Oryza sativa Japonica Group: one gene and its partners. The main gene of each other region encodes a partner of the protein of the gene in region 2 in a complex. Links are inferred from orthologs where the notes say so. Each region holds a gene or a part of one and is shown on either strand. Other genes may lie near its edges. The genes, in order: uncharacterized protein; large ribosomal subunit protein uL15c; large ribosomal subunit protein uL4c; large ribosomal subunit protein uL29c; 50S ribosomal protein L24, chloroplastic; large ribosomal subunit protein bL21c; large ribosomal subunit protein bL28c.

Region 1 (3,007 bases), on a different chromosome or scaffold from region 2:
GGGTATATGCCATTGGAATTTTACAAAATTTGAGCTATGCCACTCCATCACAATTTTTGTCACCCTCTCCTTCGACGATGGCGGCGGGCTCAGCGCACAGCGTGGAGTCATCGCATGCGACGGTAGGGAAGAAGAGGTGGTGCGGGTCTCCGTCCCCAACCTTGCCTCCATGGCTCCACCATAGTGTCGTCGGCCACAGCTTATGGGGGCATTATCAGCAAGGAAGACAATGGGGGAGAAGAAGAGGTGGCGGGTCTCCATCCCAATATAACTGTAGATTCATTGGCCGCGGCACGTGGGGCTCCACCGGCAAGGAAGATGACGGTTCTAGACGCCGCTCCCCTCCAGTGCGGGGATTAGGCTTAGCGCTCCCCTCCATCTTTCACCGGCGGCGTGGGGTCTGTGACCGCCACTCCCCTCCAACGCATGGGTTGGGCTCGGCGCTTCCCTCCACCTTCCACCAGCGATGCAGGGTTCATGACCGTCACTCCCCTCCAGCTCCACCTCCCTTCATTGGGTATTAAGCTTGCAATCGTCACCGGATTGGCAACGCCCTCATCGAAGAAGCTCTCTCCGTGCAGTCGTCGACGAGCCTGAGAACCGCCAGATTTTCGCCTGAGTTGAAGAAGAAACTGATCTGCGTTGTGCGGTGTTGAGCTAACAGAGGTATTGACAGTTGTTGTAACGGAGTGGCATAGCTCAAATTTTGCAAAATTTCAGTGGCATGAACCTGATATCGTGAATAGTAATGGCAAATTGGTAAACTTGCAATAACATGATCCAATTAACCCATATCTTTGGGGAGGCTAATGCGCACGTACGTGCTAGCAATTTAGCTGGCGCCCGCGTCAGTTGGCCCCCTCCCCTGTTCCCGCGTGCTTTTCTTTCTCACTTTTTTTTTACGATTTTGGCGCCTGGATCCGGGTGCGTTTTTCTTTTTTTTCGCCATTTCTTTCTATTTTTTTAATCTTTCGCACACCCCTTTACAAATGTAGAGTTGAAAGTTTTAAATTTTGACTTCAAAGTTTTTAAATTTGACTTGAAAGTTTTCAAATCTGAGTTGAAAGTTTTAAATTTGAGTTGAATTTTTTCAATTTGAGATGAAAAGTTGAAAGTTTTCAAAATTTGACTTTAAAAAAAATTCAAATTTCGAGTTGAAAGTTTTCAAATATGGGTTGAAAGTTTTCAGAATTTGACTTGATGTATAAATTTCTTTTCAATCTGTTACTTTAAAAAATTTTCGGAAAAAACAAATCTTATCTTGATTATCTAAAACTAATGTATTTTTTTACACGCTAAAACTAATGGACTAGTTACTACATGCGCTATGGAAAGAATCTAACCGCGCCCGTGCGGTGCCGTGCATACGCGTGGGCCAGAAGTGCGCGCCCGCGGCGCGTATGCGAGAATTAGGAATTCTGCATATTTTTACCACGTAAACGAAATAATTGCATACATTTTTTTTTCTGGGCCAGTAAGTAACCAACGTGTATCAGCCCAAACCAAACAACAATTAAGAAAGCCCAGCCAAAGCGAGGCAGGCGAGCGGCCACCCGCACGGCACCAAAGCCTCAAAAATTGAGAATCATCAACGCTTGAGAGGATAACACACACCAGAAACCGATAAGGGACACGAAACAGGGGAATCCGGAGCAAAGTGCGACGCGAGCGCGCGAGGAAGCAGCAGCCATGGCGCTCTCCCTCTCCACCTCCTTCCTCCCGACCCAAGCCGCCGCGGCGGCCACGAGGACCACCCTCCGCTCCCTCGTCCCCTCCCAGGTACGATTCCTTCGATGCCCCCACAACCGCGTAGGCGTAGCGCCGCCGAATCGGAGATTCGGAGGAGGTGATTGGAACTGGGCGGTGGTGTGACGATTTGCCGTGCAGAGGATGCGGTGCTCGATGCGGAAGAAGGGGCTGCACCCGGAGATCTACGAGGACGCGAAGGTGTACTGCAACGGGGAGCTGGTGCTGGTGACGGGGGGAACCAAGCCGGAGTACACGGTGGACGTGTGGTCGGGGAACCACCCCTACTACGTCGGCGACACGTCGGCGATGGTCGTCATGGACAGCCAGATCGAGAAGTTCCGCAAGAAGTGGGGCCACATCAAGGAGTACTGGCCCGAGGACCAGTGGAGGGAGATGCACCCCGACGGCGACCCGGAGTTCGACCCGGAGGAGGAGGGATCCGCCGGCGCCAGCTGAGCCCCCGCTTCGCCTCTCGCCTCCGCCGCCGGCCTCGCCGGTGCGGTTTCTCTTGGTTGATTTTGGGAATTGCGTAAAATGGATTAGCTCCTCTTGCTTGCGCCTCTCGTTACACGTGCATTCGCATTGCTCTCTAGGTGTTCGATCGGTGTTCTCAGTGGATACGTGTGATCATATTTGTGGTATCGAACTGTTTGTTCTCTGCCTGTACTCTTTGACATCGATATAAAATGGAGATATTGCAATTTGCACACTCTGTAATTGGACATTTCCAACTCGTTGAATCGATGCATGCTAGTGTTGGTCTGGGCTCTCGAATAGAATCGTTGCATACATCAGTTTGTCCGGTCTTCAGAATAAGCAGTAAGGGGCTGTTAGTTCACGTACTAACATTGCTAAGGTTTACCATGTTTTCTCGCTAAAGTTGAGGCCATCAAAATCCAAGCCACGCTCTAGCCAATAAAGGCTATGTTTAGTTCCCAAAAACTTTTCGCAAAAACATCACATCGAATCTTTGGACACATATACGAAGCATTAAATATAGATAAAAAAAATTAATTACACAGTTTACATGTAAATCGCGAGACGAATCTTTTGAGTCTAATTAGTCTATGATTAGCCATAAGTGCTACGGTAACCCACATGTGCTAATGACGGCTTGATTAGGCTCAAAAGATTCGTCTCGTGGTTTCCAGTAACCCACATGTGCTAATGATGGCTTAATTAGGCTCAAAAGATTCGTCTCGTGGTTTCTAGGCGAGTTATGAAATTAGTTTTTTTTTATTCGTGTCCGAAAACCCCT
Region 2 (4,324 bases):
GAAAGACTGTCACCAAACTATAACACAACATGGACAACAATACTATAGGCAACTTGAAGTATAAGTGCAAGATCACAAGAGGGTGAGGGTGTGTGTTGGGGGGTATGCATACTGACATTTGACATACATCACATTTAAAAGAGAGAAAATTCCTTCCATACCCCTGAAATTTTAGCCGATCCCTTCTATGCCCATGAATTTCCTTCACTCCCTTGTATACCTCTGAATTTTGATTTGGATCTCTTCCATACCCTTGCCGTTAATTGACCGTTTAATAGGTATATAAAAGTCAGTTTTACCCTTCAATATGTGAGGAATATGTAGAAATTTGTAAACTATATTGTTGGAAGTATAAAATTTGTTGTGTGATTATCATATTCATAAGTTTTATGTACATAAAAAATTTAATATATATTTAAAAAGTACATGTAGCATTTTTTTAAATGATAAACATAGTTTTGGAAAGCATTCCTATATAATATATACAACAGGAGAAAATATGTTGAACTACCATAAACAAATGCTACATATACTCTTTTAGTAGGTAAATAAATATTAGTTTTTATGTCATTAGGTAAAAATAAACTTTGCCATGAATAATACCTTGTACAATAAAGTCATGAATATGATAGTCTTATATAACAAAATTATACACTTCCAACAATATAGCTAGTCTACAATTTTTAGATTTCCTTCATGTCTAAGGGCAAAAAGGTCCTTTTCATTAGAATTAAACATTCAACTAACGGTATGGGTATGAAAGGGATCAAAACCAAAATTCAGGGGCATACAAAGGAGTGGACAAAACTCGGAGGCGTAGAAGGGATTGGCTAAACTTTCAGGGGTATAGAAGGAATTTTCTCCATTTAAACAGGAAACACACAAAAAAAAATGCTTGCATATCGCACGGATTCAAAATTCGTTGAACGTGGAACTTTTGGAACAAGGTAAGAGAAATAAGTATATGTTAAAGAAAAGGGTAAAGGAGAAGTACAGTGTATATGAATTCTATGCAGATGCTTCATCAGATTCACCAGCACCACCATTTTTCTTGCTAAAGTATTCTTCTGCACGAGCTTGGTTCTTCAGATAAGATTGTGGTAGCCATTTCTTCCGCTTTGGTACCAGACTTAAAGTACAACCAGCTGCCTCGAGCTTCTCCTTGGCTGAAGCAGAGAATGCCCCAGCCTTGATATTCAACTTGACTGATACATCACCATCTCCTAAAATCTACAGATAGGTTTTCAAAAGTTAGCATACTAATACTACCCGCATGATAAAAGATACAATAACAACAGCAACATTGCAGTATCATTGTACTCAAACAAAGATGAAAGGAACGCCATCTGCTGAACATCAGAATCAGATGTCAAGAAGGAAAAAGCCTATCATAAGGATAAAGTTGATAGCTCCCCACATTATGACTTAGGTCTTGATACCTGTTTTAGCCCTGTGGGTTTTACCTTATATGTACCACATAGCTAGGAGCCTAGAGTATAGAAAAAATCAATCAAATGAAATAGGACCAGAAAGAACAATAAAAGTTGAACAATTATGCTATTCAAGGTGCATTAAGTTCCACCCTTGGAGAAGTCTTTGTCACATCAGTGATCAAGCGCCACACCACTACCCACTATAAGGGGCAACCCAGTAGCACACTAATGCATCTACTCCAGCAATCCGCCAACTAAGAGTGGAGACAAACAGTAAATATTTTGGGTATGTTGGGAGTGATGCAGACATGCAGTGGTACATGTAAGAGCACATGGTTTTGTTGGGATCTTGATACCACTTCATGTTTATGCCTGACAGATATGCTCATATGCAGGCCTACACCATGTGTGGGTTCATCATAACTCATACGTTCTAGATCCTTGAGTAGCCAATAGAAACACTCGTCAAATCATACCGTGTTTGTCCAACACGAGCTAAGAAAATTGATCCCGACACACAACTTTGAGACTTCGAATACTCAACTTGGTAATTGCTGCTAAGGACAGACCAACACAGCAACATTTGAGAACTACAAGAAAAAAAAAGGCCAGCCATTCAATCCACAACATCAACAACTAAAGGATTACCCAAGACTGCTGGTGAACTTGATGAATTCACTGGCAAAGATCAAATGCAAGGCATTCATATTTCAGTTTTCAGTAAAACATGGTCATCTACAGAACCGACTTAAAAAAAAGAAGGATAATCGTCGTATAGTGTACCTTCAGAGGAAGCTTTCTCTCCCTGCCAGACGGATTAATCAAACCCCTCGATTTCAAGGATTCCAATGATATCTCGTCACCATCCTTGAACCCGCCACGCGCCAAGTCTCTCAAATTGAACGGCACATACTTCGGCAAGCCAATATGCATTCCTGCAATCGCAAGGTAGAACTTGCAACGGGTCACTTCTCAATCCCAGCATTTCTGCATTCCAAATGGAAGGTGCTAGCGTGTTCCCACTCAATTTCCAGTGCATTTGAATGTGTGAGGCTTCGATTGAGGGCGAGGAGGGGAAGCGGGAAGCTCGAAGAGACTCACCTCCAGCAATGCCGCGCAGCTTGGGGATGCGGCGGTAGAGCGGCATCTGCCCTCCCTCGAACCCGCGCCGGACGCCTGGCCCCGAGCGCGACTTCTGTCCACGCATGCCGAACCCGCAGCTCGCGCCCTGCCCCGCCGCGATACCGCGCCCCTTCCGCTTCGGCCGCCGCCGCGACCCCTTCTGCGGGCCCAGGTTGTCGAGCCGGAACTTCTCCGCGGGCTCCGCCTCCGCGGCCTCGGCCGCCGCGGCGCTGCACACGACCGTGACGCAGCGGCGCGGGCGGGCGCGGAGGACGACGGACCGGCGGCCGGAGATGGGGCCTGGAGCGGCGACGAAGGAGGTGGAGAGCGAAGTGGAGGCCGGGAGGTGGAGCAATGTGGCCGCGGGAGCGAGGGAGAGGAGGGTGATGGACGCCATGGCGGTGGAGCGGAGAGCGCGCCTGAGCGGCTTGCTGGTGTGGGTGGATAGAAGGGGATAATTGGGGAAGGACACGAGGGAGATAAGACGGTTGGATAAATGGGCCATGAATCCAATTAACCCTTGGGAATTTGGGCCTCTTTTCCCTCTATTTTGTGAATGGTTTCGTATTACTCACTTTGCTTCTTGTTTATTAAAGGATTTTAGAAGGTTTACAAAAGTTTATGAATAGAATAGAACTGAATTTATCTTCTTAAGAAATGAACATATTTGGATTGATCTTCCACACACAATCAACCAAAGAGAAAACCTGATCTTTGCTGTTCTTCAAGAGACTAGTACGGAGAGAAACTGATGGGTCACACAACCTGACAGAGTTAAGTATACTGAACTGATCTATGCTAAGAAAAGAAAAGGTGAAATGAGAAAGGAAGAAACGAAGACATGTACAAGACACATGCTTCACAGGATCGTCCCGTTGCATGTCTAGCAGTAGACAGGTGCAAGGAATTAAAAGTAAGTGTTACAACTGTAGTCTGGATAATTGTACGTCCAGGCCTCAGCTGAAAGAAACTAATGGAACTCTGGCCATCAACCATCTGAAATGTCAACAACGATACCTCTAGTTGGTGAGTTCAATGGTGACGATGCAGCTTGGCCAGCTTGATCCTCTGCTGCTACATGACTACTTACAGGATGATCTGGCAATGAACTTACATCAACTCGATTAGCTTGCACATTTTCAGATTTGTCATTGTCCCCCTGGCTTAGGGGGTAAGAGCCAGCACTGCTAGAATTTCTGCCATTTTCTACAAAAGATGTAGAACTAGCACCTTCACTGCCACTATTGGATTCCCTAGCAAGAACAAGTTTCAGTAACTTCTGCCGCTTTCTTCTTTCGGTTCTTTTATTTATCAAAGGCACCTCATCTTCATCTGACTCATCCACAGAATAGTAATTCAACCATTCAATGATTACAGAGTAGGAACCATCCCACTTGCTTATTTTTCTTTTCTTCTGTCTGCTGCACTCTTGATTCTTCTTTAGTGAGGTTGTTCTTGGACGCTTCGGTGCTTCCTGAACAGTTGTGGCGGTTAGACGGTCCAAACCAATATCCTTTGACAATTTGATTTTCTTATTAGCTGTGTCTCTTGAAGAGGACTCCATTCCAGAAATACCAATAGAGTCATCAGGAGGAAACCCAGCAGAGGTTTCTTCCAGTTCATGCTTATTGCCTTTTCCACCCTTAATTGATGCATGCGCATTGTGCCAACTTCCAGGGGCTGATTCTTCAACTTTGCAATCAGGTGCTTCTACAGATAAAGCTACCAACAAAAATTAGCAGTATCATCAATTTGTATGAGTAGGCATA
Region 3 (4,388 bases), about 2.5 Mb from region 2:
CTGAGCAAAATGGTCTGTTGTTTACGACTGATCTGGGCTTAGAGTTTCAAGATCAGCATCTAACCCGGGCTATGCTGCTCCAGTGCTCCATGTCCAAGTTGAGCTAGGCTACTTTCCACATTGTAAAATGCAGCAAGTCCTCTGAAAAGACTTGTTAGTTGTTACTTGTTAGAGCTCACCCAGCGAAAAAGTTAGTCATAACAAGGAACAATTCAACAATTTAAGGAGACAAGATTTTGTAATCATACCCCTACTCAAGATGTTACTCTCTCCATTTTATATTATAAGTCGTTTTGACTTTTTTCGGAGTCAAACTTCTGTACGTTTGACTAAGTATATAGAAAAAAAATGGTAACATTTATAATACCAAACTAGTTTTATTAAATGTAACTTTGAATATATTTTTGATAACATGTTTGTTTTGTGTTAAAAATGTTATTATTTTTTCTATCATTTTGGTCAAAATTAAATAAGTTTGACTAGGAAAAAAAAGTCAAAATGATTTATAATATGAAACGGAGGGAGTAGAAAATTAGTGGTAACCAGCAGGTCAACACTGGTTTTTTGAAGCAAGATTGGGAAGCACTTTCTGTATAAAATTGGAAGAAAAATATGCAGTGGTTGACACGACATTGTATTTGAAAATATATGTGCAGTTTGAAGATCTAATATACTGCATCAGTGAAAAAAAAACATTATAAACTTACAACAAAAGTAAGCCAAAAAGCTTCTGCATCAGGGAAGCAATTACCAGACCAACAAACGAAAAACACGCGATCTACACCTCCTTCCCTAGGAATTGCTATCAGCCTCAGTCTCTGCAGCCTCATCTGAAAGTCATACAAAAAGAAGTTCCTGAGAAATGCTCAAAATAAGAGAAAGTTATAATATGCAGCACCAAAATGTAACAGAGAACTGAATGTCAATTAATAATAACTTAGTCCTGTAGCTATGCATAGTATTTACGAAAAGGAAGTGCTTGAGTGATGGAGAAAACATGTGTTTAACTAGGTTTTACCTCTAAAGCAACTTAAACCAGCATATTCACAGCTAACTACTTTATTAAGATGGTTCTAAGGTCTAACAGAACATCTTTGAAGTGAATGATGACAGTGCCAATGGCTGACAATGTTTCAAGTGATAGGTGATAGGGGTAGCTGTGTGGCACAGCAGATTGTGACACTATTATAAGGAGTGTACCAGTATCCCCAGAGTTCTGGTTCAGTGGTGTTCATGGATTCCATGCAGTCTCATTTCTTCTTATTTTTTAGTTTAGTGCTTAGGACTTAATCCACCTTCAGCCGAAAATTTAACCACCATTAGGTGAAGTCATTTTCTATTCGCAAATTGTTGAGTTGCTCATGAGCTCTGAATAAAAACCCTAAGGAGGTGCAAAATAACGAGTAAAATACAGACTCAGTGGGTCTACTGAGAGCTAGCATAGGGGTAGGTGGATCTCTAAGCATGCTTCTAAAATAGACCATTGAATTATGTCATGGACTTATTGGATCTTTCAGGAGGAAAAAAAACCATACGATGTACATTAGCATGGTAAGCATTTTTCCTTTTGCATGCTGGTAAGGATAAGAGAACTATTTCGAAAAAAAAATTAGCTCCATAAGTCTACAAGGCCACAAAGAATTTCTCCATAATAATTAAGATGGTATTCATAAGACAAAACTGGCTACATTTTCTGTTTCTTTGCCACGTTATCTTGTTTTTACCCTTAAAACGCATGTCAGGATCTTTATCAGCATACGTATAGCATCGATCATGATATTTACAACAGAGCATAGCTAAGAGTTAAAAGATAAAAAAAAAAACTACTGTACATGCCATTAAAGCAGAGCATTTTCTCTCCTAACTATCAACTAAAACATGTAAAATAAAGGATCACTGGATAGCATTAGTTACTCAAAGTCATTTCGCACATGCCCACCATAGAAACAATAAAAAGACACCTGGAAATTGTTCATGCATAGCTATGTACCTTGAGCAGCCTCCTCTGCGCTCCCTTCTCCTTCTTGCAACTCCTCTGCTTCCTCCTCACCATCATCCTCGCCATTGGTATCATCCTCATATTCATCAAAAACGGTGGCACCATACCTGGAGTTGAGATAGTTAATGGCGGCCGGGGTGAAGAAGAGCTTGCGGGCATCGAGGATGTCGTATAGGTTGAGAGTCCTGGGGGTTAGCATCTTGAGGGAGCCAATGTTCCTTCCGCTGAGCCGCACATTGTCTGCAAAATCCGTGGCGAAGAACATGGCCTTCTCCTTGGGGTCGAGCCCCCACCGCTGAAGCGCGGCCACGAAGTCCCTGGTCTTGGGACCCGCGGCGAACTCCTCGTCGAACTCCTCCACGACGAATGCATCGTCGGCCACGGCGGCACTGGCGAGCGCGGTGGAGATGGCGAGGCGCTTCTCCTTGCGGTTGATCTTGATGGACCAGTCGCGGGGCTTGGGCCCGAATATGACGCCGCCGCCGGGGCGGAGCGGCGTGCGCATCGACCCGCGCCGCGCCTTCCCCGTCTTCTTCTGCTGGTAGGGCTTCCTGCCGCCTCCCCTGACCTCGCCGCGGGTGAGCGTGGAGGCCGTGCCGCGGCGCTTGTTCTGGCGGTCGGTGATGATGGCGCGGTGCACGACGGCGCGCGCGGTGGAGGGCGGCGCCGACTTGAGGTCGAGGGCGACCTCCCCGACCTTCTCCCCGGTGAAGGAGAGAACCGGGAGGGTGGCCGCCTCGGCGCGAAGGGCGCGGAGGACGGAGATAGCCGCCTTCTGCTTGCCGGCGGCGACGGCGACGCGCGGGGAGGAGGAGGCGGCGGCGGCGGCGGATGGGAGGAAGGAGACCGAGGTGGGGGAGAGGAAGGGCGAGGAGGAAGAGGAGAGCGAGAGGAGGAGAGTCGAGGCCACGGAGGAGGCGGCCATTGCGGCGGCTTCGCTCGCTGCGGTGCGCTGCGTGGGCTGGACGACGGGGAGGCTTTGCCGCTGCAGCTGCGGAGCGGCCGCTTCTCTATCTCCTTATCCACCCCCACCCGACCGGACCGGCCACACTCTCGCGAGTGTCAGCTTAGTCGGTCGCGCCAGACCAGTAAGATACACACACTACTATGTGTTTGGATTTTAGAAGAAGCATCTCTTCATTAAAAAAACTTAGATATTGTTAAAGAAAAACCCTCGAGGCAGTATTAGTCTATTAGATGGTGTTTTTTTTCTAATAAAGATGAAATAAAATAGGAAAGCAAAATGAAAACGGCCCATTAGCTTATGTTTAATTAAGTTTTGATTATTTTAAACTTGAAATTGATTTATTTGATATTTTAAAATATTTTTATGTAAAAAATTCATATGAAACATACCATTTAGCAGTTTAAAAAATGTGTTAGGAAGAATTTGCATCTTAGTAAAGAAGGAGGCTTAGTTTCACCAAAATGAGTTTGAAATAATCAAATTAAATTTCATTTCCTTTTTGTCGGGTCAGATTGCTCATTAGCACTTGTGTATCAGAACAGTTGCCTGAGAACCACATTGACAGATGGGGCGCACCATAGACACAGTTATGCTAAAAATGGACAGGAACTCCAAATTTTCTACTTCTACTTTTGTTCTGAACACTTGCGAAGTTTTCACGATTGCGATCCTCTTCTCGGTTAGCTCTAACAAACAAGCTAAAGAAACTCAAGTAATCTGAACAGATGACTAGCGCTTGCGATTCTCATTGCCAACTTATTTTCTAGTGTTTCAATCTTCCATAACAGTATACTTTACACGAGCAACAGAGATAGCCTACCCAATATATACCATCATTATTGGTTCCTACAAGAATCACAGTGGTAATTGTACTACATCTTTAATCTCCTTTTTTTGGAGAGCCTACAGTCGATCAGAGTCTCACAGATAACTTGATATCTCCTAACAGGGGCGCTTGGCAACTCTGTCCATCGCTTTATGGAAACAATTGTGGTATAAGTAGGGAACTAACTCTTGTACAACCTAGATCATCTTAATGGCTTCGATGGTAACTTCTTAACAAGGCTGGTGTTGCCGGTTACCAATAATCGAGCGCCCTTCACCAGTTCCTCCTTAATCATAAAAAGGAGAGCAGAAGCAAAAACACTTTGTACGATTTTTGTGCTCATTCCTTTATAAAGCCCTGACAAACCTTCATAACGTATCATCTTTGTGATCGCATCAAATGTGCCTGCAAGCAATAAAATTTGCATAGCGTATTTGGTAACAAAGTCAGAGAACAGCAAATATTATTACCAGAAGAGAAGTAAAGACTATCAGAAACAGGATATGGAGCAACATCACTCATTAAATAATAATTCACTCTAAATAATAAAATGAAGTTTAAAGAATAAAGGCCAGCGATGTACCTTTGTAGCGGTG
Region 4 (4,077 bases), on a different chromosome or scaffold from region 2:
TACAGAGTGCACGTCATATCGACATAGCCGTTGTATTTGTATGCACCCCTGATACGGCTCATCATGTAGATGCACAATCTTTTACGCCTTAATGCTCACAGTGAATGAACGAACTTCTCGTAGAAAACAAATTGAGTAAAGCAGTTATAACTTGATATATTGCTGTGTTCACAGAGAAAGCAACATGAAAAAAAAAGAGAGTAAAATGGTAGTAGGACTTAATATACCATTACGCATTTACGCTCACAGTGAAAGATCAAATCTCTCTCTCTCAAAAAAGGAGTGCAACAGTCAGACTTGATGCACAATCCATATGCTTCTTGATTCTGCATACCTTTCTGTCATTGTGTATTCAGCTTGTTAATTTCTGCTTTACATCGTTGAAGTGTTTCTGGTTGCTAAATAGGACAAATTTTATACTTGTAGATATACAAATACACTTAATTGAACTTGATTAACATAATTCTGTACAGAGCACAGCTTAAGCAGGCAAAGGTGAACAGAGATGTAGTTAACATGCCTTGGTGCTGATGTGTGAAGGTGTTCCAGATGCTTGGTCTTCTGCTACCCTCAGCTGCACCACCCTCGTACTGTAAGTCAAGAAAGGCCAACTCTTCAGATTTCAGACAAAGACAAAACATGTTACAATGTGACAGTTAATTTTTGGCAACTCATTCATTCCTTGGTGCCAATCTGAGCATTATTCAGTAGCATCGTGTAACACGCAAAAATCAACGAAAACAACAAAAGAAATTCCTTCTTTTTTCTTAATTACAGGTGGAATTAATCAGCTGTGGTGTGAAACTGTGAACCCGTAGGGAAGCAGGGGAGGGAGCTCCCGCTCCTGCATGACGGCATCCGGCGGCGGTAGCACGGTCCTCAGCCACGCCCTTTGTTGCACGGCCAGTGGCCTCCGTCCGAGATCCCCTTGGTGCCGCGACTTGGGGAGAGAGGCGGTCGGCGAATCAAAAGGCAGAAGCGAAGACGGACGTAGCGATGCATGTGATTTCCTCCTCCCCATCCCCAAGCACGGCAACCGAACTCATCGCCCCATCCAGCGACGAGGTGGATCTATGCCACCGCCGCCGAACTTGAGGGGAAAGACGGCACAGAACGGCGCGCTGGCGCGTGGGAGGGTCAGCCTAGGGCGTCGGAGGGGCGGAGGTGGAGCTGGAGCGCGGGGAGGAGGAAGAGGCGGCGACATCGGCGTAGGAGGACAAGTCGACCTCCGACGAATGAGGCGGAGGAAGCGGGGGCGGGGGCGCCGGCGGAGAGAAGGGCATTGCAGGTTTGGTATAACTTTTTCAAAAAGACCCCTAAAACCTCACATATTACAACGAGGTCCACCGCAGCTATTCCACACCGTTGATCTGTGATCTGACGGCTGCGAGAGGGAGACGAAAGCTGGAATCGTGCAGCGCCACGTGGAGGGGTTATTTGCACGCGAATCCGCGTAGATTTCGATATTTAGAGATGTGACATGCATATTAAGCAAGTGAAAGCCGTCCGATAATGCTTGAAGATTCGTGCCCCGAGTGGCTAATCAACATGACCAGATAAACCCCCTTATCCACGAACCCCGACCGGCAGAGAGCGCAGACGCGAGCGCAGCGCAAAAGATGGCGACGATGTCCCTCGCCGCGGCGTCCCCCCTCGCCTCGACTCCCCGTGGGCTCGCCGTCTCCACTCCCCGCACGGCCTTCCTCGGCCTCCTGACCGGAGGGGCGTCGCTGGCGCCGTTCCCGGGACTGGCGGCGGCGGCGGCGCCGCCGCGGCTGCCAGCGGGGAGGGGCGACGCGGCCGTGGCCAGGATGGCGAAGAGGGAGCAGGAGCTGGAGGAGATTCGGGCCATGCCGACGGAGAAGATCGAGGAGGAAGTGGTGGACCTGAAGGGGGAGCTCTTCATGCTCCGCCTCAAGCGCTCCGCGCGCCAGGAGTTCAAATCCAGCGAGTTCGGCCGCATGCGCAAGAGGGTATGTCTCTTACTCCATGGGGTACAGATATACCACAACTGCTAATTCCATTGCGAAAGTTTAGCATTTACTCCTGGCCAAAATGCGTTCAACCTACGAGTGGAAATTCCACCTTCTACTTCCAAATGGGTGTGGAGTGGTCGCATGTTCTGCTCAGTGTGTTCTGTTTACAAGGCCCTTTTGTTCAACCTCTAGTACTGAGTTGATTATGTTCAGATATATTGAGTTGATTTCAGGTTCAGAATAGTGGAATAACTTACCAATTTGTTGGTGGAATTTTGCCTGATTTTTATCAGTTGCATATTGGCCCATACTGAATTTACAGATGATTTGGGTTAATGCTTGGACAATTTCAGTCTCAGAAGCAATTTTTTTTTACTTAATTTGATTAGAAAGTCATGCTGACATCCATTTACGTATTCTTACATAGTATCTACTTTGGGTTTGTAGTATTGTTTATTGGATTTTAGTGCATAGAGTACTACATGAAGAATGATATTGCAATGCAATGTGTATCTGAAGAGCTTTTATACTGTTCTTGGGAAAGTAGTGTTAAATTAACCTTCAGTGGACCAAAATTTAAAATGGAACAAAACTTTGTTCTGAGGACGTCAAAATGCAGATAGTACACAAGAACTAATTCTACGGTCAGTTATGTGATACCTTGTTCTTCTTGAGGGCTTCTGATAAGTCAATTGTTATGAATTATCACTTGCTTTGGAGTTCAGGTCTCCACCTCTGCTCAGGGACAGCACAGGACAAATAGTTAGCAGCAGAGTAATGCATACTTATATCTGCCTCGATCAATGCTTCTTGCCTTTTAGGAGGAGGATATCAGATTTTTTTTTCCTGTTGTTTTTCTCACCCTGCTCATCTTGCTTCAATAGCAGCTTTCTACTATCTAAATTTAGCATTGACTTGGGTTGTCATCTTCGCATCAGATTGCTCGTATGCTGACTGTCAAAAGAGAACGGGAAATTGAACAAGGAATCAACAAGAGATTGTCTAGGAAGCTTGACAGGAAATGGAAGCAAAGCATCGTGGTTAGACCACCACCATCTCTAAGGGAGAACAAGGAGGAATAGAGAGCCACAAAAGCAGACAGTCTGTAGAAGTCATTTCATGCATGTCTTGAAGGAAGGTTTCTTTCTCCCTGTGGTTTCATTCCTTATAATGGATTGATATGTAATTCACATTAACTGATTTCCAAGTCCTTGCTGTCAAAACCAAAAGTTCTATTACCAATTCCATTTGTGTAAATTTCAGTTTATTCAAAATGTGTTGTCCATATATGCACTTATATTACTGATATATGAAACTGTGCTTAACGAGTGTATGCTATACACTTGTTGAAACTCAAACTGCCTATTCAAATTCACCTGTCACAAAGTTGTGGGTACGTACATACTATAAGAGGCAGATATGCAGAGTTCTAAAGAAGTGTCTCTGGAATACGGAGTAACAAAAACAAGAGAATTAGGCCATGTCTATAATAGTTCGCTTGGAATTTTGGTGCCCTGCTTTGCTCCAAACTCAAGTTCACTGTTTTATCAAACGTTTCAAAACTGTACAACTGTCTCCAAGCCCACGTTCTTGTGGCTTGTTGTGTCGGTCACCTAGATTTATGTTATTGTTCAACACTGATTTATGCTTAAACTAGCTCTGTTAGACTGTCCTAAAGCATGTTGGGCTTTCCCCTTCTACTCTAGCTTTAGAGTATGCTGCAGGTATCTCTGCACAGAGCTAGGGAGCCATCCTAGATCCATCATCAGTTTCATAAGCAAGCCCAGGTGGCTTGGCCCTTCAGCCAAAACTTGTTATTCTGATCTCTTCAACAGATCTTAACTTGAGATGTAGAGAGGCTTCACTCACAAGGTAATCTTTTAGTCAACTATTGTCTTCCTCTTTTTTTAGCTAATTGTTTAGTGAGCAGAGTACTGAGTTGGTGATTGTTTGAAGATAAATGCCAACAAGTGGAAATAGCATCCATGCAATTCTTTTGTTGAAAGTCTCAAGTCATCAAGGTCGAAGTGATGTTGCTGATAATTTGGTTGGGTAGATAAGAAATGAAATGAAGAGGATATCAGCCCCAGTTAATTGCAGC
Region 5 (4,425 bases), on a different chromosome or scaffold from region 2:
GATTATAGCACAGTCACACACTTATCCCATTGGAAAGAAAACGGTTTGCTTGCACGGCAGAGCCTTTCAAGAATTGAATAGCTCCAGTGATAGCCACACGAAAGGGACAGGAGCGATTTGCTGATGGTGACCAGTGGAACAGGCAAGAATGTAGTGCACGTGTTATCCATGAAATCCCTCACATGTACACCTAAGGTTTATCACTAAATACAGTAACACACAAATACACAATGCATATAAACGTAGACTTTTGAGTCAACAGTTTTGTTTATCACGAAATATAGTAACTAACACTCAAATACACAATGCATAGAAACGTAGACTTCTGAGTCAACCGTGTTAGAATAGCTTGGCCAAAGATGCTCGATGATTCGAAATCTTCGGTCAAAAAGCTTGGAATTCATAGTATAACGACCACTGTCACTATGCTATTTGGTTTTAGGTAGAGAAACCAAGAGTTCTTCGATTCGAAATTAGGTTGGTTCCTCAACCTCCTCACATGGATCGGAAGGCTTCGATTCGAAGTCGTCCGATTCACATCGGTGCCATCTACCTACCCATCCCCATTCCCCACCGCCCACGCCCAACCCTATCAAATGAAACGCGAGATTGCAACCCCCCAAAGAGAAGAAAACGGCAGCGGAAATGGCGACGTCCCGATCCCCCACGCGGCGTGATGGGGAAGAACTCCTCAGGCGTACGCGCATCGGCAGCGTCGTCACCGCGAAAGCGCCCCCCAAAAGAGAGAGGAAATGGGTCCCAGAAAAGCGCAAAAGGGACGGAACTTGGGGGGTTGCTTGCCTCCGCAACTGTCGCTTGGCTTGCGCGCGTCGCCGGCGACGTCGAAGCCGCCGGAATCCGGGAGGCGCCACGCCTGGGCGCCCCCGCCGAAGCAGCATCTCGCGGCGCGTGGCGTGGTGATGATGCGTGTGGAGACGAAGCCACGCAACGCAACGAGGAAGACGACGAGCGTATGCTGGGCTGGGCCTTATCCGAAAACGGGTGTCGGCCCATATCAACCCAGGACGTTCGGCCCACGTTACTTGACCACAAACGGGATTGCGGACGACGAGCGGCCCACGACATTTGGGCCTTAACCGGATTGCTGACGTGCGTGATAGTAAGTCTATTTTGCCTCCCTCATGTTCTCTGCGAGTCAGCCTGCCACGTCAACAGGAACCACCCTACAAACCATCTAAGGGTTGATCTGCTACGGTTTTCGCTTATTCGAATCGTTTATTAGCAAATAAAAATTTATTTATGAGTAAAATGTTTATATATGTCCATAATAACTTAAAGCAAATGTTGTAAAATATAAGCATTTTAAAAAAACAAAAAAGCAAATTCAAAACTAAGTTCTCAAATTCAAATTTTGGCTCATAAATATAAGCATAACCAAACAATAAGACCGATTTTCCTCCATTTTGCGGTTGAGGGAGGTAATTCAATCAGGAGCAGAGATGAGAAATGTACAATAGATTTTATCTGTGTAGGTGCGACCTGTTCTTGTTGGGTCGAGACGGGATTGCGGCTTACGTGAGGCCCGCTATATTTGAGCCTGAACGGGATCGCGGCTGACTTGGGCCGTAAGGTCCGTTGTAGTTGGGCTGGATTACGATAGGCCTTTCATTAGGCCTTTATGAGTCTTACAAGTGGGCCAATCCATTCGGCCTAGAGGCCCATTTGTCATGTAGAAAAGCGCTCGCCATTATCCTGTCCGCGAGCACACGAAGGCGTTCGTTATCCTCTGCTGCTTCTCTGCGGTTTGAGCGAGCGAGGGAGGAAGAGGAGGGGAGGAGACGAAGATGGCCGGGGTGGCGGCGTTGCAGGGCGCGATGGCGTCCCTCTCCATCTCTGCGCCGGGGGCGGCGAGCACCAGCAGCTTCTGGGGCCACCCGCTCTCCACCTTCGCCGCCGCGCCGGCTGGGGTTTGTGCCGACTCCCAACCCTGATTCTCATTTTTCGCATTCCTTTATGTTTGCTCTGCTCTTATGATTCGCTGGAAAAGTAGAAATGCCAGCTTGCACTGAGATTTAGGATTTTAGAGCTCACCAACAGCGTGGCATTGCAATGGTGATGTCTACATCGCCTCACTGTACTGTTGTTGCCTTCAGGAGTTCAGGCTCAGGACCTCAACTAGCCAACAACCAACGTTGTGTCAAAATTTTGTGGTATATTTTTTTTAGAGAAAAGGTCTCAAGGATTTTGTGGTATAGTTGAACCTAGTTGGCTAGTATAAGGAGGGTTTATATGAATTAATGAATGCTTGAAATCTCAAGTTTGAGTATATCAACTGAGTGAATTCAGAAGTTAGAAATTGTGTTGTCTACCATGGGATGTGGCCTGTTATGTTTCAGTTTAAACTTGAATATTATTTTTTTCCTATGGTGGTATAAGCGATGGATACCCAATATTCAGCCTTTCAAGCAGAGGATTATTTTTCTGAAAGATGTGCCCTCTAGTGAGACAGACCATTTCTTGTTCTAACCTGCTGTATAGATCACATTTCGCTGGCTAGAAACAATTTTGCCTTTGAACTTTAAATTACTCAACAGTAGAAATTTCACAGAAGACTTCCATGGGAAAATGATGGAAACTCATTTCACTCGGGGATAGCCTGTAGCAAATGATTGGCACACTCGGTATACTTATCAGACTGAACTTGTTCTATCTTTTGTATATTCTTTTTGGCGTTCCTTAGCTCTTCTAGATAGTCTACTGCACTTCGTCCTCAGAATGAGACTCACTCACGACTAATTACTTACCTGGAAAGTGGTGATGAGAGAAAATAAGGCCGAATAATTGCTCTTGAATGGAGTGACTGAGCTATATATGGCACTTATATGATGAACTGTACTAAAATCTGCACTTATATGAAGAAACTCGTACTAAAAGATCATATGATTATCCTAGATATTCTTGCCTAAGAAACATCGTGAGCATGATTCATGTCATATCTCAAAAGCAGCTGATTATTACATTTTATGTCATTTTCATAAGAAACTCTGACAAGATATGCATAAATTTTTATATGCAGGTTAAATTTATGATCAAGACATGCCCAATTCAAATGAGGGTAAGTTTCAATTCTTTTTTGGTCTGCAGCTTGCTATTTACTCAAATGTCTGAAATTTCCCTTTTTCCAATGCAGCTTAAGCGATGGGAGAGGAAGAAGTGTAAACCAAACAGTCTTCCTGTCCTGCACAAGATGCATGTTAGGATTGGCGATACAGTACAAGTCATTGCAGGCCGTGAGAAAGGTAAAGTTGGAGAAGTTACGCGGCTTTTTAAGCACAACAGCACTGTAATAGTGAAGGACTTGAACTTGAAGTCCAAGCACAAGAAAGGAACAGAAGATGAACCGGGTGAAATCGTCATGGTCAGCATTGTTTCTCTTGAAACTTCTTTCTGTGCTGCTTCTAGCTAGTGTCGTATATATAGTTTCAGATGCCTGATCGTTAACCTATGGTTGTTGGTGTTTTCTTTGATCAGATTGAAGGCCCCATTCACAGCTCAAATGTGATGCTCTACTCAAAGGAAAAGAATGTGGCGAGTAGGGTTGGACACAAATTCCTTGAGGATGGAACGAAGGTTCGGTACCTGGTCAAGACTGGTGAAATAATTGACAGTGCTGAGAATTGGGTCAAGGTGTTCAAGGAAGGAAGTTCGGAGTGATCATGGTAGCATGGGAGTCCTGCACATTTTCTGAACTGCACTTTTTGTATGCCCAAATGAGTTGATGCTTTTCTAGATTCAGATTTCAGAGTCTTGTAAATTTCTATACAGTTGCCAACATTTTTTTGTATCCAATGACATGCTTGGCTTGTTAACCAGCTACTAGAATGGTTCAGCTACATTCGCTCATACAAATGATTTTGTAATGTTGTTGCTGTCCCCTGTCCTGAGCTATTATTCGCAACCATTGACTAATTTGGTCCATTTCCATATAGAAATATAGATGAGATGTACATATAAAACCCATGAATGATTGATAAGTTCTTTTTTTTAAGGAGTAGTAAGATAGGAGTATCATAAAAGAAACAAGCTTAGCAATTTTTTTTTTGAAACAACCCGCAGCGATGTTTCTATTGATATAGTAGGAAAAAAATACAAATATATAGTGCTAAAAGATAGCGATGTTTCTATTGATATAGTAGGAAAAAAAATACAAATATATAGTGCTAAAAGATTATAGTCAGAAAAAGGAAAAAACAAATCTGATTTGCCATTGATAACATGAAAGCTCAAGAGCTCGTGCTGACGGCTGAGAATCAACATAGCAGATATGGCACGCAAATATCAAATCCAGGTGATCGTAAGCAAACCACAGTTTTCTGCTTGCGTTTTGCTCCGCGAGGGAAACCTGACACCTGTCCAGATCCCATGAGACGAAGATGCAACCCATCAAGGTCACGAAAACAACGG
Region 6 (4,421 bases), on a different chromosome or scaffold from region 2:
TTGGCTAGCATATAACAAATTAGTGTGATTATATTTAGTTTATGAACCTTTACAGTGGTCAAATTTTTACTTCAACAAGGGTTTCAATTAGGCAAAAGATGTCTGAAAACCACTATAATTCAGAACTGTAATATGCAATTAGGGGTGAAGGACTACTGAAACAGTCATAGTTTGCCAAAAGATTATACGCCTTATGCCACTGGTTATCTTTGGTAAGGATTCAAAAGGGCAAAACTTCTGCAGTTCTTCATGAACCAAGGTTCTAAAAAGTGGTAAGCAGAATCCATGCAGCCACCTGCCTTGTAGATGCTTATATGGCCTAAGTCCTAACCAGCTGCTTATGTGCCCTAAGCAGTACAAGGTTGCACACAAACACCTTATATATGGCCTTGCAGAACTTCTCTTAGAACACTCGAATAAATCATGACCAGAACTGCATTGAACATAGTACTGTAACTGATCCCAAAATATTAGGACATAGCCCGTTCAATAAACTAAGCACCATTGGTACAGATGCCAAAAACAGTGAAATTAGCATCAGTAGTCACAAAAACTGTATAAAGTTACACAAACCAAAGCTAAAACATCCGTATCGTGGTAAAATGCTCTCTCTTTTTTTAAGCACAGTGAAAATAATACAGTTGGCTAGGATACACAATATCAGAATGAACAAAACAGATGGTGGAATAAACAAAGGATGGAACAACTGGATGACTGGCAGCACTCGAACACATGAACAAAGCAAATTTTGTTCAAAAACTGTTCTTCCAGACAAGAAAAGGTAGCACTCGTATTCTAATGTACTACCAGTTGTTTGTAACTACAGAACTTACAATTGCTCTTAAGCTGGAACATACTCAAGTATCGGGTCAGCAGGGAAGTCCTCGTATCCACTTATGCCGGTAATTCTTAACCTTGTGTTTGGCTGCAAAACAACAGAGATTTTTAATCTAAAAGAACTCTAATTGCTTCGCTGTAAAAACTGAATCAGTATTTATCAATAAAATTCTACCTTTCTTGAAGAAGGTAATTGGAAAAACTTACCTGTCTGTGACCAAGTTTCCTCTGGTACTTCTTCTTCTTCTTATATTTGAAGACTATCACTTTATCATCCCGTCCCTGATATAAAAATATTGGGGAGACATCAGGGTCAAGTAATTTTGAATATCCATGATTAACCCGACAACATACAGAGGACATACCTGTTCCTCAACCACTGCATGAACAGCAGCATTGGTCACCACTGGCATGCCAATGTAAGCCTTGTCTCTAGTTGATACCAGTAATACCTTGTTTAATATTATCTGCACATCAGCATTATCCAGAAGTGAGAATTTCTGGGAAAACAATACTAAAAATGCCAGCAACATAAGCCAACGTATGGGTCCTATGGGATTGGAAGCTTTGCATCAGAGGAGTAATTTTAGTTAGAAAAGGAACGAAGCTAATATATGCAGGCTACACAAAACTTATCGAAAAGTTCTGAATAAGATATTTATGTGAAATCAGGAACTGGGATTGAAGTGTTATAATTACAGGGAAGTGACTCTTTTACTTCTAAAATGAAGTAGGTCACTACCACTTTCCATAATTTCAGAATGTACAACCTTCCTCGTTGTTTTGAAGTTTGTTATTGCATCTCATGGATGAAAAAGAATAATAACCAAATAACCAATACTATATATTTGCCTTTTCCTAATTTACAATCACCTTATCTAGAAGCCACCTCAGCATCATATACCTTTTAAATTTATGGATTAATACAAACCAACTAACTAGCAAAAATAGGCCAAATTTCTAGTTAGGGTGTAACAAGTATCCTCCTGCATCCTCTAAAGTGGAAGCACCAGACCTGATCATTGACATTGGCGCCTTTCAGCCTCTGCGTGTATATATACCTTCCAGGCATCACAATGTACTGTCTCGACCCAATCTGCGACAGAAGAAAAATAATCAAAATAGCTCCCTCGTTATTATTCACAGCGCTCATACAAAACAAAACACAGAGAAACCCTCCTCAGATGCACTCCTGCATATTTCAGAAATGCATCCGAACAATTCTCTGTAAGACTAGTATTGTATCATTCGAAAACACTGTAATTCTCTGCGCCGTTTTCTTAATGGTGTGTCCTGTACATACTAATAATCGGCGTGCGCGCATTCCTATTGGCGCGTGAATCCTAAGCTTCTTATGCAGCATAGAGTAAGCAACACAAGCCTGAAATCAAATGCTCACTTCACCGCAAGAAGCAACGCAACTAGCGCCAAATGCCTGTGTAATGATATTATTTAAAGAATTCGAGGTAATGTAGCATGAACAAATGTGATTCTTTTTTTGTTTGTTTGCAGTGAGCCGAGCAGGACTAAATCTGAAATATTGGCGGCAAGGGCAAGCTAGCCCCACCATGACAACGGCGAAGATGTCGGCGTCCTTCCCGGCGCCCGCGGCTGCGATCTGCGCCTCCACAGGCTCCGGCACCGCAGCCTCCTCTTCTTCAACCTCCTCCTCCTCTACCACCTCCGCCTCGGCCTCGGCCTCCACGGGTGCGGGCGCCGGCTCCTCGGCGGAAGCGAGGAGCCGCCAGCAGCGGCGGGGCGCGGACGCGGCGACGGGGAGGGAGCATCGCGAGGCCGGGAGGGACGGGGCGGAGGGGAAGGCTAGGGTTTTGGAGGCGAGGAGGCGGAGGGGCAGCGTCGCGGTGGCCATGGCCGGCGCGCGGGGGGGAAGAGCAGTGTGGATGAGAGTGTGGGCTATCGTATCGGAAAGAAAGAAGAGGGATAATATTGTGGATAGGGAGGTTACCCTGAGCCGTTCGATTGGAGATCAACGGCTCAGATTAGATACCCATGAAAAACATGAAACTATGCCCTACTAGTTTTTTAGCGATACTGCACGTACTCATTTTGTTTCTCCTTTCTAAAGTTTAGAATCGTTTGATTTAATCAGTTAAAGATTATAAAAGAGTTGGATCGAATGTGTTGATTAGACCATAAAGAATATGCGAATTAACACGAGTGATGAGAACTCTCGTGAACTCTCGGACGAAAGAGCCAAACTGAACTACTACGCCTCCTCGACCCCTCTTCCTCACAGGCTCGGGTGACCTTGCCGCCGGCGAGGTGAGGGAGAGAAGTCCGACAAACTCTCTCTTTGTAGGTCAATCAATTTAGTTGGGTTTTTCTTTTAGTTTGAGCGTGAAGGTCGGCGATGTTGGCCTTCTAGTCCTAGGTTTCATGGAGAAGGCAATCGAAGTTTCTTCTCTAGTGGTATCCCTCTAAAACACCGGGTAATTCTCTATCACCGTGAGTTAGGAGAAAGCTAGACCTAGTTAAGGGAAGTTAGGCAAGTTATCTTTCTTTTCTCCAGCAGGCTTTTCGCAAGGATGATAGTTTTCTTCCTCTTTATTGGTGGCAAACCTTCAAGAAGCAGTTGAGTTTTGTTTGCTATATGCTTGGATTCCTCAACCTTAGGCTATGGAGGCCCTAATAAGGTAAGCTTCTTGGTGCTTTTTTATGCAACTTGCCATGAAATCTTTGTCTCTATCACCAATATCAACGATTAGGTTGTCGACCTTGATGGTTCTGCTCCAAGAACAATCTCATTTAGCTCTGGATGTACTCATCTATGGTATTGATGAACCTTTTCATGAATTGTCATGGCCTTAACCTCTATTGTTGTGAAACCCTATTTGGGAATGCGTCAAGGCAACATCTTCTGTAGCTCGCCGTGTCCATGTAGCACCCACTGCCATCAAGTATGTCACCAGTCACCACCAATGTGGGCATAAGACAGAGGAGGACCTGATTGTTGTTTTTTTTTTCAAATCTTGTTGAGTCCTCCTTTGCTTATATTTTGACCTAGCCATCTTAAAGAGACTATCTTCCGTACTCCCAGTTCTATCAACAATGAACATTGACATGTTCAGTAGTCACATTTCTATGGCATTGCTTCGACTGTGTAGCCGTAGCCAATGCAAGGTATAGCGCACTATTGCTTGGCCTGTTGCTATATGCTGCAGCCCATGCAAGCGCATCAAAGGCTATCAAACAACATTGATAAACTGTGAGACTGTTATCTAAGTTTGTCTTTAAAAACAAGAGTACAAAGGACAACCTTTTTATTATTTGCAATGATAAGTTTTCTAAATTATTAAGAAACTGTGCAGTACGATTTCCAACATAAAAGAATATCACTTTAAAGGCCATGACAATCGATGCTGAATCGATTAAATACCATAGCTTATATAGAAGATGTTTATTATGCCATAATTTATGGCCTTTTATCATTCGCAACCATAACTTTTTCCAAATTATGCTACCAAAATAATAATAATAATAATAATAATAATAATAATAATAATAATAATAATAATAATAATAATAATAATAATAAATCAGCTATAGAAGTTAAATAGCAATCA
Region 7 (4,054 bases), on a different chromosome or scaffold from region 2:
CAGAGGTTGCGCGTGTGTGGAGCTGCCGGGTTGCTCCACGTCTACAACTCAACACCTTTTTCTCGTCTCTACATTTTTAGAGAGAAAAAAAACAACCTTCTAATTTTGTAGGGGTTCATTATTCATTTAGGCTCTTATTAAATATCAATAGCTAAAAAGGGGAATAAAACAATCCATCAATTTCAGCTATCTCAAACCAGACAGGCCATAGCAGTAGAACAATCAATATTGGCGTAGGAGTTCCTTTTGTACAAAACAAACAGCTTTTCAATTTTGTACAAGTTAATTCTTTCATTTAGGCTCTTATTAAATATCAATAGCCAAAAAGGAAATAAAATAATTAATCAATTTCAGCTTAGACTGGAAGACACTCTAAAGTGAAAAGCGCAAGATGCCAACTGCACGACCTGATGCTGCTCAAGTTACATCCATCCATCTTATAATTCGTAACCAACATACAGTATTAATTAGGAACTCGACCGAAATGAAACACTAGTAGCAAACAATTCGAGCCGGACTTGCAGCAGCAACACGGGATAAAAGGAAATTTAAGGAAACGAAGCCGGCCACCACCACCGATGAATGCATACTGTAGTACTCTACAATAAATTGCATCATCGAGATGAATGGATTTAATAATGGACTACATACAGCTCTGGTCTATTCAGCACAGCGGCAATTGATGAGAGAATACATGTATGTATGCATCATGATGATGATGATTTGATTTATTTCTTGTTGAGGTCGATGCCGGCCTTTTTGGCGACGGCGTCGAGGCCATGCTTCTCGATGGTCTTGAGGGCTTTGGTGGAGAGACGCAGCTTGACGAAGCGCTTGCCTTCCTCCCACCACAGCTTCTTGTACTGCAGGTTCACAAACTGCTGCTTCTTCGTCTTGTGGTTTGAGAAGGACACCTTGTTCGCCCTGTTGGTCTTCTTGTCCGTGAAGGGGCATATCCGGCCTGAGTCACCCACCCCCACATCATACAACAACATCACCATACACGCCATCTTGTTCCTACTACTACTAGTTTCTATAATTTGTGGCATCATGCAAACAAAAGATAAAGTATAATCTCACCCTTTTAAATTACTTGTCCTTAACTTTATCATAAGCCAAACATTTAATATCATAATATTTATGTGTTTATATATGCATCATGAAAAGTACCTTCATAATATATAGTACAATTAACATGTTGTTAAACTTTACAAATTTCTAGAAATTGATAAGTCACAATTATCTTTTTAAATAAGAAATTGATAGTTAAAGTTATGAATGGTTGACTTAGAATAAAACTAAAACTATAACTTGAAATGGCCAGAATAGTTATATTTTTTCTTTTCCCCCTTCTTTCTTATATACACTAGTAAGAAGAAGAAGCTCTGCTTATGTCTTAGAGAAACAAAGAGATGGTTGTCAGACATAAACAAGCAACCATTTCAAATATATTCTAAACAACCCTGTTAAATTTCACTTGGCGCAAGGATATTATTGGCCTTAAGTTAGTGGCGTGGAATCATCTCTTTCCACGCATTGCTAATATAGTGTTGTCACACGAGAAAGATGACTTTAAATTGAATCTAACACCTGATGGAAGATTCTTGGTTAAAACTCATTATCTTGCACATACAAGAGTTCCCAATTTTAACAAACATATCTAGAAGTTAAAAATCCCTCTCAAAGTGAAAATGTTTCTATCGTATTTATGTCGAGGGGTGGTGTTAACAAAAGATAACCTGGCTAAACGGAATTGAAAAGGGAATAAGACCTATTGTTTTTACCACAAGGAAGAAACGATAAAGCATTTATTTTTTGAATGTCGGCTAGCCCGATCAGTTTGGTCTTTAATCCAGATTGCATCGAACATTTCTTCACCTAGGAGTGTGTCACATATGTCTGGACAATGGAGTTTGCGACAAAACAAAGAGTCTAGGCCTCCTTTTCTACTAGGAGTTGACTTGTTGGGCTATTTGGCTATAAAGGAATGATGTGATTTTTGACAGGAAAATTGTTTCTTCTTCTTTGCAGGTTATTTTCTTGATCACACATTGGCTCCGATCATGGATTATTCTCAAGAAGCCAGATTACAGGGGTTTTGTCTGTTCGGCTTGTCTTCATTTGGAGCATGTGGTCAAGGTTTTTTTTTTTTACCCAGGCACATGAGCGGCAACCTAGTCTTCCGATATTAGGTCCTTAATCGTTGAGTTAGTTCTGTTTTTCTTGTTGTGTGGTATCTATTGGTTGTGCACTGACATGGTGCAAAGAACGACCAAATTCAATAAAGCTTCCATTCTCTTAAAAATACAAAGAAAGATCTGAGTTTATGGTAATAGATTGACAGCTAGTCTATTTTCGAGAGATTAAAGCAATCAATTACTAACAAATAGGTCATCTGGTTCTAGTAGTAGTATATATACAGTGGAGTATTGGATAGCGCAAAAAAAAAACGAAGGATAAAGTAACAACTTTAATAGTAGCAGAAATGACATTGGTGGTGTAATATAAAACTGTAATGTCAATCTGCGGGTGGATGGCTCGAAACAGAGAGAAGAAGGAGGAGGCAGATGACGTACGCGCGAGGATGGGGTGGAGCTTGGGACCGGCGGCGGAGGGCGCGGTGGTGGCTGCGGCGGAGAGGCCGAGGCTGAGGCCGGCGAGTTGCGAGGTGGCGAAGCCGAGAGAGGAAGAGGAGGAGGAAGTGCGAAGGAGCGGAGCCCTGGTGGCGGGCGTGAAGGAGCAGAGCATGGTCGCCATCGCCACTGGAGCCTGGAGGAAGAAGAAGAAGAAGAAGAGGATCAAGTCTTGTGCGGCTGCGGCGTGGCGTACAACTTGTTTCTCCTATCCTATCATAATCGTCTCTCTATGTACTGTGTGAGCAGGGGCCCATATATCGTAGTACTGTAGAAAAGGGCGGCCCAAGCCCAACTCTCATTACTACTAGTATTACTCACAGTGATAAGTCCACTTATTATCCCTTATTTTACGTCGAGTTTAATGGTATCTCTAAACCGCAATACCAGCAATCTTCACCCCCTCCCCCCCATTTTGGAAAAACCTTCCAAGTCAGTCTCATGGTATTATGGATGACTGGTTTCACTAACGTGGCATACCAATCAGAAAATTAAAATTTAAAGTGGACTTCCTCCCAACCTGTCCCCTCTCTTCCCCATCTCTCCACCTCCCCCCTCTCTTTCCCATCTCCTCCAGTGGGGAGAGGGGCGGCGGCCAGCGAGCCCATCCACGGGAGGTGGTAATGGTGGTGGGAGGTCAGTGATGAGGTGGCTCCAGTGGTCCACGACGGGGGAGAAGAGGAGGTAGGTGAGGGAGCCGGCGAGTTCGAGCTCATGAGCTATCTGCAGGAAAGCCCAGTCGTGTCAGGAGTGTGAGGAGCCGCGGGGATGGGAAGGGGGTGCTGCGGTGGTGGCGGCAAAACTTGAGCTCAAGCGGTAGTGATGAAGATGAGTACGCATGCGGAGGGTGACGTTGTTGATGGAGGTGTTGGGGAAGAAGCAAGTGAACTAGAGGGACAATGTCGTGTCGCACACCACCAACTCCCACACATTCTCGCGAGCATCCAAGATGGGGACAGTAGCAAAAGTCTGGCTCCCACTTCCAGATCCCCTTCGCATCAACCTCCATTCCAGATAGCACACTTCTACCCACTGGTCCACCTCCTCCTCTTCCTCATACTCCTCCACATCGCTCTTGGGCTCCTCCTCGTTGATGGCTTTTGAAGTGGAGACAGTGGAGCTCTCGGAGGAGACAGACCGGCATGCTCGCGACGACATCGCAACACCGGGTCGAGGTCGAGCCGGCCCCTACTTCTCTTTTCCGTCTTCAAGAACAGCCTCCTTGACTTCCGCCCACCCATCCCTCGCCGAAGGAGCTATCAAAGAGGTCACCCGAGAAGATGTGGAGTTGATTCTCTCCTCCTTGATGGCCAGGAAGACAGGAAGAGGACCCTCTCGCAGGCGGTGTGGAGGATTGTTGTCTGTCCTACCAGTGTTGGTGTGTGGTGGACCGACAAGGCTCCTCTAACTTAAGTCAAAGG

Evidence for each region.
Region 1: large ribosomal subunit protein uL15c (region 2) and uncharacterized protein share a complex: the UniProt entries of both Arabidopsis thaliana proteins name them as parts of the 50S ribosomal subunit. The link is inferred for Oryza sativa Japonica Group from reciprocal best matches to the Arabidopsis thaliana genes RPL15 and emb2184.
Region 3: large ribosomal subunit protein uL15c (region 2) and large ribosomal subunit protein uL4c share a complex: the UniProt entries of both Arabidopsis thaliana proteins name them as parts of the 50S ribosomal subunit. The link is inferred for Oryza sativa Japonica Group from reciprocal best matches to the Arabidopsis thaliana genes RPL15 and RPL4.
Region 4: large ribosomal subunit protein uL15c (region 2) and large ribosomal subunit protein uL29c share a complex: the UniProt entries of both Arabidopsis thaliana proteins name them as parts of the 50S ribosomal subunit. The link is inferred for Oryza sativa Japonica Group from reciprocal best matches to the Arabidopsis thaliana genes RPL15 and AT5G65220.
Region 5: large ribosomal subunit protein uL15c (region 2) and 50S ribosomal protein L24, chloroplastic share a complex: the UniProt entries of both Arabidopsis thaliana proteins name them as parts of the 50S ribosomal subunit. The link is inferred for Oryza sativa Japonica Group from reciprocal best matches to the Arabidopsis thaliana genes RPL15 and RPL24.
Region 6: large ribosomal subunit protein uL15c (region 2) and large ribosomal subunit protein bL21c share a complex: the UniProt entries of both Arabidopsis thaliana proteins name them as parts of the 50S ribosomal subunit. The link is inferred for Oryza sativa Japonica Group from reciprocal best matches to the Arabidopsis thaliana genes RPL15 and RPL21C.
Region 7: large ribosomal subunit protein uL15c (region 2) and large ribosomal subunit protein bL28c share a complex: the UniProt entries of both Arabidopsis thaliana proteins name them as parts of the 50S ribosomal subunit. The link is inferred for Oryza sativa Japonica Group from reciprocal best matches to the Arabidopsis thaliana genes RPL15 and PRPL28.

The regions. Positions count from the first base shown.
Region 1 is NC_089035.1:25,929,455-25,932,461, reverse strand, and holds uncharacterized protein, read left to right. Parts: upstream 1-1,605; 5' UTR 1,606-1,689; coding exon 1,690-1,779; intron 1,780-1,887; coding exon 1,888-2,205; 3' UTR 2,206-2,466; downstream 2,467-3,007. UniProt on the Arabidopsis thaliana protein: Binds the 23S rRNA.
Region 2 is NC_089037.1:6,341,653-6,345,976, reverse strand, and holds the start of large ribosomal subunit protein uL15c, read right to left. Parts: upstream 3,012-4,324; 5' UTR 2,953-3,011; coding exon 2,535-2,952; intron 2,369-2,534; coding exon 2,217-2,368; intron 1,231-2,216; coding exon 1,009-1,230; 3' UTR 995-1,008; exon of another isoform or gene 893-994; intron 253-892; exon of another isoform or gene 33-252; intron 1-32. Other genes in the region: uncharacterized protein, read right to left, coding at 3,544-4,277.
Region 3 is NC_089037.1:8,802,401-8,806,788, reverse strand, and holds large ribosomal subunit protein uL4c, read right to left. Parts: upstream 2,993-4,388; 5' UTR 2,925-2,992; coding exon 1,991-2,924; intron 831-1,990; coding exon 793-830; 3' UTR 576-792; downstream 1-575. Other genes in the region: peroxisomal nicotinamide adenine dinucleotide carrier, read right to left, coding at 3,995-4,197, 4,376-4,388. UniProt on the Arabidopsis thaliana protein: This protein binds directly and specifically to 23S rRNA. May play a role in plastid transcriptional regulation.
Region 4 is NC_089036.1:32,213,468-32,217,544, forward strand, and holds large ribosomal subunit protein uL29c, read left to right. Parts: upstream 1-1,588; 5' UTR 1,589-1,619; coding exon 1,620-1,973; intron 1,974-2,914; coding exon 2,915-3,058; 3' UTR 3,059-3,334; downstream 3,335-4,077.
Region 5 is NC_089040.1:29,338,633-29,343,057, reverse strand, and holds 50S ribosomal protein L24, chloroplastic, read left to right. Parts: upstream 1-1,725; 5' UTR 1,726-1,805; coding exon 1,806-1,928; intron 1,929-3,037; coding exon 3,038-3,076; intron 3,077-3,151; coding exon 3,152-3,379; intron 3,380-3,492; coding exon 3,493-3,675; 3' UTR 3,676-3,897; downstream 3,898-4,425. UniProt on the Arabidopsis thaliana protein: One of two assembly initiator proteins, it binds directly to the 5'-end of the 23S rRNA, where it nucleates assembly of the 50S subunit. Required for optimal plastid performance in terms of photosynthesis and growth.
Region 6 is NC_089036.1:9,030,762-9,035,182, forward strand, and holds large ribosomal subunit protein bL21c, read right to left. Parts: upstream 2,754-4,421; 5' UTR 2,708-2,753; coding exon 2,405-2,707; intron 1,934-2,404; coding exon 1,853-1,933; intron 1,305-1,852; coding exon 1,203-1,304; intron 1,120-1,202; coding exon 1,045-1,119; intron 926-1,044; coding exon 842-925; 3' UTR 596-841; downstream 1-595. UniProt on the Arabidopsis thaliana protein: This protein binds to 23S ribosomal RNA in the presence of protein L20.
Region 7 is NC_089039.1:104,682-108,735, forward strand, and holds large ribosomal subunit protein bL28c, read right to left. Parts: upstream 2,801-4,054; 5' UTR 2,758-2,800; coding exon 2,577-2,757; intron 962-2,576; coding exon 729-961; 3' UTR 412-728; downstream 1-411.